2 linked regions of the Schizosaccharomyces pombe genome follow. Changing the gene in region 1 together with any one later gene gives a genetic interaction. Each region holds a gene or a part of one and is shown on either strand. Other genes may lie near its edges.

Evidence for each region. A genetic interaction does not mean that the proteins touch.
Region 2: mutations in trm1 (region 1) and sla1 are lethal when combined (synthetic lethality), as found in Schizosaccharomyces pombe (one study listed by BioGRID).

The regions. Positions count from the first base shown.
Region 1 is NC_003423.3:3,717,454-3,725,638, reverse strand, and holds trm1 (mitochondrial tRNA (guanine-N2-)-methyltransferase Trm1.1), read right to left. Parts: upstream 2,257-8,185; coding exon 610-2,256; 3' UTR 501-609; downstream 1-500. Other genes in the region: mrh5 (RNA helicase), read right to left, coding at 1-269; ribonucleotide reductase small subunit Suc22, read right to left, coding at 2,709-3,884; MCM complex subunit Mcm7, read left to right, coding at 5,719-8,001. UniProt on the Schizosaccharomyces pombe protein: Dimethylates a single guanine residue at position 26 of nuclear- and mitochondrial-encoded tRNAs using S-adenosyl-L-methionine as donor of the methyl groups.
Region 2 is NC_003424.3:1,381,908-1,385,896, reverse strand, and holds sla1 (La-motif domain-containing protein), read left to right. Parts: upstream 1-2,348; 5' UTR 2,349-2,383; coding exon 2,384-2,597; exon of another isoform or gene 2,598-2,672; coding exon 2,673-3,355; 3' UTR 3,356-3,489; downstream 3,490-3,989. Other genes in the region: mitochondrial dihydroorotate dehydrogenase Ura3, read left to right, coding at 1-387; disulfide relay system thiol oxidase subunit Mia40, read left to right, coding at 811-1,105, 1,174-1,820.

The DNA.
Region 1 (8,185 bases):
TGAAATTTTGGTCCATTGGGTTCATGCAATTTCTTCCTTCGGGTTACCTCTTCATCTCCTTTATTTGTGTAATTTGGTAAGTATCTAATTAGTTGATTTTCATTCAAAATAACAGGCCTGCCAGCTGTGTATCTTGGACTAGTGATATTGATAAATTTTCGTGTCTGAAGCAACCAAGGAACACTTCGTCCGTTTAGACGCAATCCCATCACATTTATAACTTTTATTGCATTAAAACGATCCAATATCGAGGCAGGACAACATTTCATGAGCAAACTGTTGTTGGACGAGTTAGTACCCCACCAACGAAAGTAACAATACCAAAAATTGTTGAAGCAAAAGAATTAAGAAAATATTTGCACCTTCTTTAAATAATTATGTAAAAAAGAAGAATACGGTTAAACAATAAATCATTTTAACATTGCTAATTGTGTTGCGGATACTATTAGTTTAAACAAGTATTTAGTATGGAATACACAAACTAAATCTTTTTTGTACTAGCCTGTTTATAATTTGCATAAACCTTCCGAAATAACATAAAGAATGAAATTGTATGTACTATCCAAAAACCTAAAATACAAGGAGTATTTAAACTGTGCTCCACTTTACCTAAGATTTTGAGTCAACTTCAGCGATAGTTCTTTTACCAGGTTTACTTTTTGGGCCCCAATTTTCAGTTGGGTTCATTTGATATCGAGTATAACCTTCTTTTTTGGATGCAAACTCGGAATCGGGCCTGAATGTAAAATCAACCTCAGCTGTGGGAGTTTTTTCCAAAATCGCTGCTCCAGCAGATGTTTTACTAATATTTTCAAGCTTCACTGGATGATCTTTAATCCAAGAGCGCAAAACATCCCAAACGAAGGACCAGGGAGCATTTGTTTTAATTGCATTACTCTTGGCATGAGAACCAGAAACCCGATATCCAGCGTTTAACAAAGCTGAAACAAATATATTTTGAGGAGGAGATTGGGAGCGCAAGACGCTACAAATTTGGGATAAAACAAAATAAAATGGAACATCTGGTAGTTCTTCATCAGCCAAAGCGAGCATACCTAAGATTCTTCGTTTAGTGCCATAGACTTCAGGGTCTAAATCTTCTGCAATGGCGCGCATTTTTTTGAGAAATTCTGCATCATGTAGGGGTCCACCCCATAAAGGGCCTCCAACATGATGCACATATCCACAATGTTCACAGTTAGCAGATACAGGAGGCCCCGAAGCATTAGAGAATTTGGTGGTTCCAGGTAGTCTTCCCGGAGAAGTTTTTCCAAGTGGTTGCTCGGCAAAGCTACCGCAGCCTGAACAATGGTATATCAATAGCGATTGACTTTGTAAATTTTTTACGAGAACAGGCTTTGCTTTAATTTGAACAAATACGCGAAAGTAAAAATCAATACTTAGGGAAAGTAGCGGCTTGATAGCGCGACCATATTTTGCAGCAGAAGCTGCAATAGCATAAAGCAAATGACGAACAGCCTGCTCATGACAAAAATTAGAGCGCAAAGAGGACCCACCATAATTAGAAAAGCATTTCTCTGGATATGCATTACCGGCTAGAACAGCTGAATCAGTACATGTGATGCATAGAAGACCGTCCTTTGAAACGGATTGTACAGCAGCATCCAGAAACGGGGCAGCAGATCCATAAGGATCAAGGTCAATCACATCGTAATGAAATTTGTTCATATGCATAACAGCATTAGCGTCTCCTTTATTAGGAATTACTATATCGCTCACATTATTGTAATTAACATTCTTCTCGATGGTTTTCACAGCATTTTCTAATAAATCATTTGCAAGTATCCTTTTGACATTTGGCAACTCCTTAGCATACCGAATGGAACGCAATCCAGTAGCGGAAAGTGCTTCTAAAATGGTAAATCCAGCAATATTATCAGCTGAAGTAGAATCTGTCTTTTCCGAACAGTTTTTTTCAAAATCATGAGTTGTATCACATTTAGTAAGATTTTCTTGGCTAAGTTCGGAGTTTTGATCGAGAAGCTGATGCCGGTGATGAGATTTTGCAACAATTTTTTTGGATCTAGTTTCCGACCAAGCACGAATAGCTGTAACGCTTAAATCTCTATTAAATTGTTGTACGGGGTTATAAAAGACTTCATTCGGATTTGAAAATGGTATAATTGCACTACCCTCGGTCAAACTTGCAGAAGCCCCCGACATCATGGCGGTTGAGAAGTGATTCACAGCATTTGAGATCCTTTGACTTAATCTTAGCATATTGGCTTCATACATTTAATACGAATTAAAGAAAAATAATCGTTAAAAAAAAAGAAAGTATTGATTATTTTTGAGAGTAAATTTGCAGTAATTCATTAAAAAAATACGAGATGTGATAAGTCAACCATAAATCGAATTACAAAGTATTGTATAATACATGTAATCTTGTAGGTTTAGGTAATTGACAATAAGGATAATAAGTAAATGGTCTTTTAGTCTATGACTGGAAAATAACTTTTCTTAGACGTAGTAAATTAATGAAAAAGAGAAAAGAACTTGAATAGAAATACTTCAGAAATTAGAACTTCGTCATTACATTCACTGAAGTAGCCATTTAGATTTGTAAAGTATAGAGTAACGAAAATCTAATTAAACATATTAATTTATTATTGCTAAATAGGTTATCAGTAATCAATAATATTTTTTTTTTGCTTTAACTTATCTAAAAACCAAAAATAACTAGTCATCTAAAAGTCCTCATCGATTGTAAATGTATGATCATCCTTCTCAGCGCGCTTGGTACCCGACATAACGCCAGCAATTTGGTAGTCAGAAACTTTCTTTTCAAAGAAATTTGTTTTTCCTGCTAAAGAGATATTCTCCATGAAATCGAAAGGATTGGTTACGTTATAGTACTTGTCATTGCCCAAAGCAACCAACAAACGATCAGCAACAAATTCAATATACTGACACATCAAATCCTTATTCATACCAAGCAGACTAACGGGAAGAGCGTCCGTGAAGTATTCTTTCTCAATATCAACAGCTTCAACAATAATGGCTTCAACAACCTTGCGGCCTGGTCTGTGCTTCAAATGACTAAACATCAAACAGGCAAAGTCGGTGTGAAGACCCTCATCACGACAAATCAATTCATTGGAAAAAGTAAGACCAGGCATAAGTCCACGTTTCTTAAGCCAAAAAATAGAGGCAAACGATCCAGAAAAGAAGATACCTTCTACAGCAGCAAAGGCAACCAAACGAATTGCATAGGTGGAATCTTCATCATTAATCCAACGAAGAGCCCACTTGGCTTTGGCCTTAATAGAACCCATTGTTAAAATAGCATCGAAATGACGCTGTTTTTCCTTAGGTTCACGAATGTATGTATCAAGCAAAAGTGAGTAGGTCTCAGAGTGAATATTTTCAATCATAATTTGGAAACCATAAACACAACGAGCTTCAGGGATCTGAACTTCAGAGCTGAAACGCTCGAGAAGATTCTCATTAACAATACCATCTGACGCAGCGAAATAGGCGAGTACAGTGGAAATAAAGTAACGTTCATCAGCATTTAACTTGTTATCCCAATCAACCAAGTCTTTCGAAAGATCAATTTCCTCAGCAGTCCAAAAAGATGCTTCAGCCTTCTTGTAGAATTGCCAAATTTCGTGATACTTAATTGGAAACAAAACAAAGCGGTGAGGATTAGGGCGAAGCACAACTTCATCAAGCTCATCTTCCTTTTTGCCCAAGTAGTAGTCGCCTCCTTCCTGTTTCTCTTCTTCACTTACATTATCAAAGTTAAAGGTTTCTTTAATAGATTTAACATAAATTTTACGAACACCTTGTTCGCTATCATACTCGACTTCTTCACCATGTTCCTTAGGATAACTGAATTCTTCGAGATGCTCAAGGCCCATTTTGTAAGATTAATAATGAGATTTCGTCCAAACTGACCGGATTTATCTGTATATAGAATAAGTACAAAAGTTTTCTTCCACCGCGATTATCTCTTGCGATGTGGCTTCCCAAGATGTGTTGTGGTTAATGGCAAAACTTTCAAAGGTAGGTTATCCAATGTAGTGCACAGTATTGTAGTATATTCAACACCACCGTTTTTTTTGTGGATGTTAATTTGTCGCACTTTGGGTATGATAACACAATGAATAAGAGTGAAGGCAAAATAGACAAAATGCTGCCTTATTTTACAGAGTGGAAAATTGCAGTTAAACTAAGTCAAAGGCTGATGGAGATGAATAACGTTGAAAAAAAACAATGTACTAATTAATATTTGGAGACAAACGCAACGAGTAAAAAAAATGAAATAAATTCGAAGACAATCTCAAATTAAATGGGAAAAGCAAGGGCTTACTTCCTTTCCCTTCTGGTGTGTTATAATAACGGTTTCTTAAAGCAGGAAATTGTAGCTAGTTAATAGAAAAATGTGATAGCTTAAATCGAAGAATTCGATGCTAAGCGTGGAGTCGAATAAATTCAATTATTTAGGCTCAAATAATTGAAAAAATAGAAATGAATTTATTACTTTATGTAATAAATAAATTATTAAATTTCTCACTTTTTGTTATAATTTAATAAAGTAGTTTTCAGTGTAATACTTAAGACGCGTCAGGGTACCTCAATTTATGTTGTAGATGAAACGCAATGATATCAGCCTAGTAGTACGATATGATGTTAGAAATAAATATCTCTTCACAATCTCCTTTTCATCCGAGATGTAGAGCGCTTTATAACTGCTCAAATATTACAAATCACGAAACTTCTAATGCGACGCGACCGTACATAAAGACATTGCTTAATTAAAAAAAGATAAGCGCGACAGAGACCTAGCCACATACTGTGAATAATTTTAATACCTTGATCCTTTCGTAAAAAAAAAAAGAAATACTTATATTCGTCTATTGTAAACAGAAAATAAATAAGCATTCCAATAGCACGTTTCTATTGCGTGTTGTGCTTTTAGGTACAGTTTACAATGTGGTATAAAACAATAAAGAATTTTCTATATTCATTCTTCACTGATGTTTGAAATAACCGAACAAAAAATAAAAAGTTCCCTACTCGAAGTTTTTATATTGTTGATATCGCATTTCTTTTGAGAATTTCCCTGCTAACTTACTTCATAAGTTTTCAAAAAAATTTTTAAAAATAAAAGTGAAATAAATTTTAGGCAGTAGTCTAAATAACTCTCATGTTTAGAAATACAAAACGTGTAGAAGAAAAATAGGAAAAATTATGGATAGCTAAAATAACAATCGATTGAAGCAATGAAAACAATTAGACATACATTTATGAAAATAAAATGACCAATTTATTGTCTGGCAAAATGATTATTATTAATTTAAAACAAATAAACTGTTTATTTATACATAGTGAATACTCTCCAAAAAAAATTTCTAACAGTACTACATAGTGGCTTTTAAAATCAAACTGAATGTTTACTTTTGCTGCGAGAGTAATAAATTAAAAAGGAAATATGTAGAGAATCAAAAAAATTATACACTGCAATTTCTTTAGAGTCAATGACAATTTGTATATGCCCTAAGTTACAATATTTACATTTTTGTTACCTTACGAGTTCGCGTTGATTCATACTACCAACTAACTAAAACAACCTAAAGAAGAACCTTTCTTGGTATCTTACCCTTACTTAATACCCTTGCTTTCTTTTTGAACCTTTATATTTTTTGCTAATTCAGCAGAAAAGTTTTGGGATACTTTTTTGGTTTGAAAAGCATGGCACTTCCCACCATAGATTTAAAAATCCCAGAGTATGAAGAATGTCAACATAAAATTACGGATTTTCTATCCCACTTCAAGCAGGAACAGGTTCAAGATGGACAACAAAATCAGGATATTTCGATGTCGGATGCAGGTGATGAGCCTTTTTTAAAATCAAAGTATATGGATATACTACAAAAAATCTCCAATCGAGAGTCAAATGTTATTAATGTTGATTTGAATGATTTGTACGAGTTCGATCCAAGTGATACTCAGCTTTTGCATAATATTGAATCTAATGCTAAACGGTTTGTTGAACTTTTTTCGCAGTGCGCAGATGCGTTGATGCCTCCTCCTACTGTGGAAATTAATTATCGCAACGAAGTACTTGATGTAATTATGCAGCAACGTGTTCAAAGGAATGAAAATATAGACCCTGAGCATAAAGGATTTCCTCCTGAATTAACCCGAGGTTATGACTTATACTTTCGACCAGTAACTCGCAACAAAAAACCATTCAGCGTTCGTGATTTAAGAGGCGAAAACTTGGGATCTCTTTTGACTGTCCGTGGTATAGTTACTCGTACAAGTGATGTTAAGCCTAGCTTAACTGTAAATGCTTATACATGTGATCGATGTGGGTATGAAGTGTTTCAAGAAATCCGTCAGAAGACATTCCTTCCAATGTCTGAATGTCCTTCGGATGAATGTAAAAAGAATGATGCAAAAGGTCAGCTTTTCATGAGCACAAGAGCCAGTAAATTTCTTCCTTTTCAGGAAGTAAAAATACAAGAATTAACGAACCAAGTACCTATTGGCCATATCCCTAGATCATTAACCGTCCACTTATATGGTGCTATCACTCGCTCTGTAAATCCTGGCGATATCGTTGATATTTCTGGTATATTTTTGCCGACTCCGTATACTGGTTTTCGAGCAATGCGCGCCGGGCTCTTAACCGATACTTACTTAGAATGCCATTATGTTTCACAAATCATTAAAAATTACACAAATATTGAAAAAACTCCTCAATCGGAGGCTGCTATCGCTGAATTAAATCAAGGAGGCAATGTGTACGAAAAACTGGCCAAGTCCATTGCTCCCGAGATATATGGACATGAAGATGTTAAAAAAGCTTTACTTCTGTTGCTTGTCGGAGGTGTTACTAAAGAGTTAGGGGATGGAATGAGAATTCGTGGTGACATAAATATTTGTTTAACTGGTGATCCTGGTGTCGCAAAATCTCAATTATTAAAGTATATTTCGAAGGTTGCCCCGAGAGGAGTATACACCACAGGTCGTGGATCTTCAGGTGTTGGTTTAACTGCTGCTGTAATGCGTGATCCAGTGACGGATGAAATGGTTTTAGAGGGAGGTGCCTTAGTACTTGCTGACAACGGTATTTGCTGCATTGACGAATTTGATAAGATGGATGAAAGTGACCGTACAGCAATTCATGAAGTAATGGAACAGCAAACTATTTCAATTTCAAAGGCAGGAATCACTACGACTTTAAATGCTCGAACAAGTATTTTGGCCGCTGCGAACCCCTTATATGGACGATATAATCCGAAAGTGGCACCAATCCACAATATAAATCTTCCAGCTGCACTGCTTTCCCGGTTTGATATTTTATTTTTAATTTTAGATACTCCTTCTCGTGAAACAGACGAGCATTTGGCACAACACGTAACATATGTTCACATGCATAACGAACAACCTAAAATGGACTTTGAACCATTAGATCCAAACATGATTAGGCATTATATTTCTTCTGCTAGACAATATCGCCCAGTCGTACCAAAGGATGTATGCGACTATGTTACTGGTGCTTATGTTCAACTTCGACAAAACCAAAAGCGTGATGAAGCCAATGAGCGTCAATTCGCTCACACTACTCCACGTACACTTCTCGCTATTTTGCGAATGGGACAAGCATTAGCTCGTTTGCGTTTCAGTAATAGAGTGGAGATTGGCGATGTTGATGAAGCTTTGAGATTAATGTCTGTTTCAAAGTCATCACTATACGATGATTTGGATCCTAGTTCTCACGATACTACTATTACCTCGAAAATATATAAAATTATTCGAGACATGCTTAATAGCATACCAGATGTTGAAGGCAATGAACGCTCACTTACACTACGTGCTATTCGTGAACGCGTACTTGCTAAGGGTTTTACTGAAGATCATTTAATAAATACAATACAGGAATATACAGACCTTGGTGTTCTTTTAACTACAAACAATGGTCAAACAATAATGTTCCTCGATCCGGATTTACATATGGAGAATTAACAATTTACTAATAGATAACTCCTATCATTTAATTTTTCTGCCAATTAATTGCTTTAAGCTAATTTACAACCTATAGAAATTATTCTGAGACGTCAAACTACTTTTCTGTTGAATATTCTTTAATTCTGACTAATACATCTGTCGTTCTTTTAATCTATGATAGTTTATTTACTTGTATTCAAAT
Region 2 (3,989 bases), on another chromosome or scaffold:
CTCACGGACATTGCCGATGTCCTCAAAAAGTGCAAGATTGACGGTGTGATCGTTGGTAATACTACCGTTCAACGCCCTAAGACCCTCAAATCAACTAGCCATGTTGAAGAGACGGGTGGTCTTTCTGGACCTCCTCTCAAACCTATCGCATTAAATACTCTTCGCACACTTCGTAAGCATCTTTCTTCCGATATTCCCATCATCGGCTGTGGTGGTATTTCTTCTGGCAAAGATGCTATTGAGTATGCTCGTGCTGGTGCAACTATGGTTCAAGTTTATACTGCTTTGGGATATGATGGTCCTGTAATTGCTCACAAGATTAAGCAAGAGATTCTTGCCGAGCTTAAGGGCAAACGTTGGGTTGACATAATTGGCAAGGAAGAATAGATTGGGATGTCAGTATATTTCTTTTAAAGAAAAAATTCAGTGTCGTTTACTGGTACATTATTATAGTAAAAATTTAACATATTATAGAAAATAATACTCACGTTCTTCTAATTAAATATTATAAATGAATTACCTTTTGTTTTGCATACCTAAGTTTGCTTGTGAAACTATTATGTCGCTAGTTTAATTCTATTATGAAATTAGTCATTCAGGCATTTCTTAGTAATCTCGTAAATCCTGCCAGTCTTGCTTGTCTTACATTTGTGAATACCTATTTACTTAAATCTGATTTAAAAAACATGCAAACTTATATAAACTTAGAATGAATGACAAAGTTACGTTCTTGTAAGATCGTCGCCGCTTTCTGACCATTACGCAGACATTAGAAGTTCAGAGCTCAACTTCCCATAAATCAAAAAAACCATGTTTGCTAAAAACTTACTTTTCAGATTTCCAAAATGTATAAGGATTAACGGTTACAATAATATGAGAAGGTCTCTACTGCAGAGAAATGGATTTCAAGCAGGCATTTGTCGAAAATTTGGTACTGCAACCAAAACTGATGTATGGAAAGGCCGTTTTTTGCCTATTGTATCTGGCGTTGCAGCTGCTTCTTTGACTGCTGGATATTTACTTGGAAAAAACACTTCAAATGCATCATCGAGTCAAGATAATGACCATCCTGTTGTAGGCGAACATGTCCATACGGAAACACAATGTAAGTATCATATGTTTGAAATGGCTATCTTTTTCTGTACGATTATATGAATTTAACTAACAATATAGCGTATAATGAACCATATATGCAGCGACACCGAATTGAAGATGCCATTGAGAAGAAAATGACAAGTGAAACACAACCTTCGACTGACGAGAAAGGCCGCAAGGTCAGCGCTACTGAGAATAGTGCACCGAAGAAAACTGATAAGGAAAAATCCAGCGGGGAGACAGCTGGAAATATACTTCGAGAACAAATAGCCACTGGTAAAGATGATGATGAATATGCTAGGAAATTTGAGGAAGTGGAGGAGGAGAGCAGCGAGGAGTCAGCATTTAATCCGGATACTGGAGAGATTAACTGGGATTGTCCCTGTCTTGGAGGTATGGCTCATGGTCCATGTGGAGAAGAATTCAAAGCAGCTTTTAGTTGCTTCGTTTATTCCAAGAGTGAACCAAAAGGTATGGAATGTCTTGACAAATTTCAAGCTATGCAGGCTTGTTTTCAAAAACACCCCGAAATTTATCAAGATATGGTAGGGGAGTCTGAAGAGGAAGACGCCGAAACTAATGAGAAACCATCGACTACATCTGACGAAAATAATCAACCACAATCTCCACCCTCCGATAATGCATCTAATCCTGAAGAAGACGTTATGAACATGGAGAAAGAAATTGTTAATCTTACACCTATGTCAGTTATAAAGGAAATTTAAAATTTTCGAGGCGCTCCGTTTACTATTTAAAATCCTTCAACAATATGAAATTGAAATTATTCAATTAAAGCATTTGATAGTGATCTCGTAACGAACATATAATGACTCCAACAAATGGAGTAAGTTTAAAGTATTAATGTCTTACATCGGTTTTAATAGTTAGCGGTTCTACAATAAAGTGGATATTAAATGATAATTCGAATGGGGAATCTTGATATTATAGGTTATATTGCAATTGTCGGTAAAGAATCATAAATAGGAAAACTAAAAGCTACTGCTTGTCATTATGGTTAAATTGTATCCAGAGCTACATTGTAAGGAGCAATCTCTGTTAATCTTTTCAAAAAAAAAAACAATGGAAATTCATGGGATTATTCTATCTATTATAAATCTATTATGAATAAACTACTTCTTTTTTAAGTGCCAACTTTTAACATTGTCTTCATGAGTAGGAAAATAATGTCAGTTCGATAATAGGGTAGGGTTAGAAATGCTTCTAGGAGAGGAATCCAACTTCTTATGAAATTTGCCCTTTGCCTGTCTCTCTACGAATAATTAACATCATGTCAACTGAAGAACAGAAGGAAGAAATTAAGGACATCTCATCTAAGCAGGAGAATTCTTCAGAGGTTCCCAAGGCCGAGGAAGCTGGAAAAGTAGTAGAAAGTCAAAAAGATACTACTAGTGAAGAAAAAAAGGAGGAAACTACTGAAAAGAAGGAAGATGATGGAAAAAAAGATTTATCTTTTGATGAAGCTGAAGTTTTAAAGCAAGTTGGTATGTTACACACTTTGTTTACGTTGGATTAAAACCTTTTTTGTGTTGAGTGGTCGTTACTAACAGTATGAATAGAATTTTATTTTTCGGACACCAACTTACCCCATGATAAATTTTTATGGACTACTTCTCAAAAAAATGATGGATGGGTTCCCATTCAAACAATTGCTAATTTCAAACGTATGCGTCGTTTTCAGCCTTTGGAAGCCATTGTAAATGCTCTTCGCAAGAGTCCTGAACTTCTTGAAGTCGATGAAGCTGGCGAAAAAGTACGTCGTATGATTCCTCTAGTTCGTGTAGACAACAAGAGCGTCATGGAAAGAAGTGTCTACTGCAAAGGTTTCGGTGATGAAAAAGATGACACTCAAATTGCTTTGGAAAAATTCTTTGAAGAAAATGCTGGTCCCATTAGTGCTGTCCGTATGAGAAGGGATGACGATAAAAAATTTAAGGGAAGCGTATTTGTTGAATTCAAGGAACCCGATGTTGCTAATAAATTTCTTGAGAAAGTCAAAACTGCACCTTTGAAATGGGGCGAGGACGAGCTCACTATAATGAGCAAAAAGGAGTATGTTGACATGAAAGCTGAATTACATAAAAACGATCCACCAAAGTTTAGCAGCAAACGCAGACGTTTTGACGCTTTTAAAGAGATGGATCGTCAGCGTCCTGGTAAATATAGTAACAGAGGAAGAAAATTTAAGAAGCAAAGGTCATCTAACGCTTCTGAAGAGAAGCCTTCGGCCGCTTCGGAGTAAAATGGATTAATTTTGTTTGTTTGTTTGTTTTACAAATACTTCAAAGACACTGGACAAATAAACTTTTTCGGATTGGTTATATTAGGAATTTTGGATGAATAAATAGTCGTTTCATGCAGTTATTTTGTACAATATGACCTCGTAATTTAATGCTTAAATCGTAACAATATTCGGCTATAAGTTTTGCTATACGAATTTTAAAGGTTTTGAATAATAGCAATAGTTTTTTGCTTCATCACTTATAATGTATCGTACTGAATATTTTAAATTTCACATGAGTTAATATTAAGTCCTATTTCTTTACCAGTACGACCAAGCTTGCATTTCAGAAGTTCTCAGTGGAATTTGCAATGATCAGAATTGACTGAATTAAGAACTTGTATATTTCTGGTGGATATCAACCATACAAGAATCAACTTTAACAGTAAAAATAAAAAAATATCAACCTTAGAACCATGCGTCTTTCACATATTTCCGACTGCACAGTCAACATAGGTTTACAGTTCTCGATTGCTTGACTGGGCTACGCTATCGATCCTACACATCAATATGTTCTTCAGAATACAAAATATAGTGAAGCAAAAATAGTTGACCTTCCTATAGCTTAATTATAACTGAGACATTGCTTAAGCTA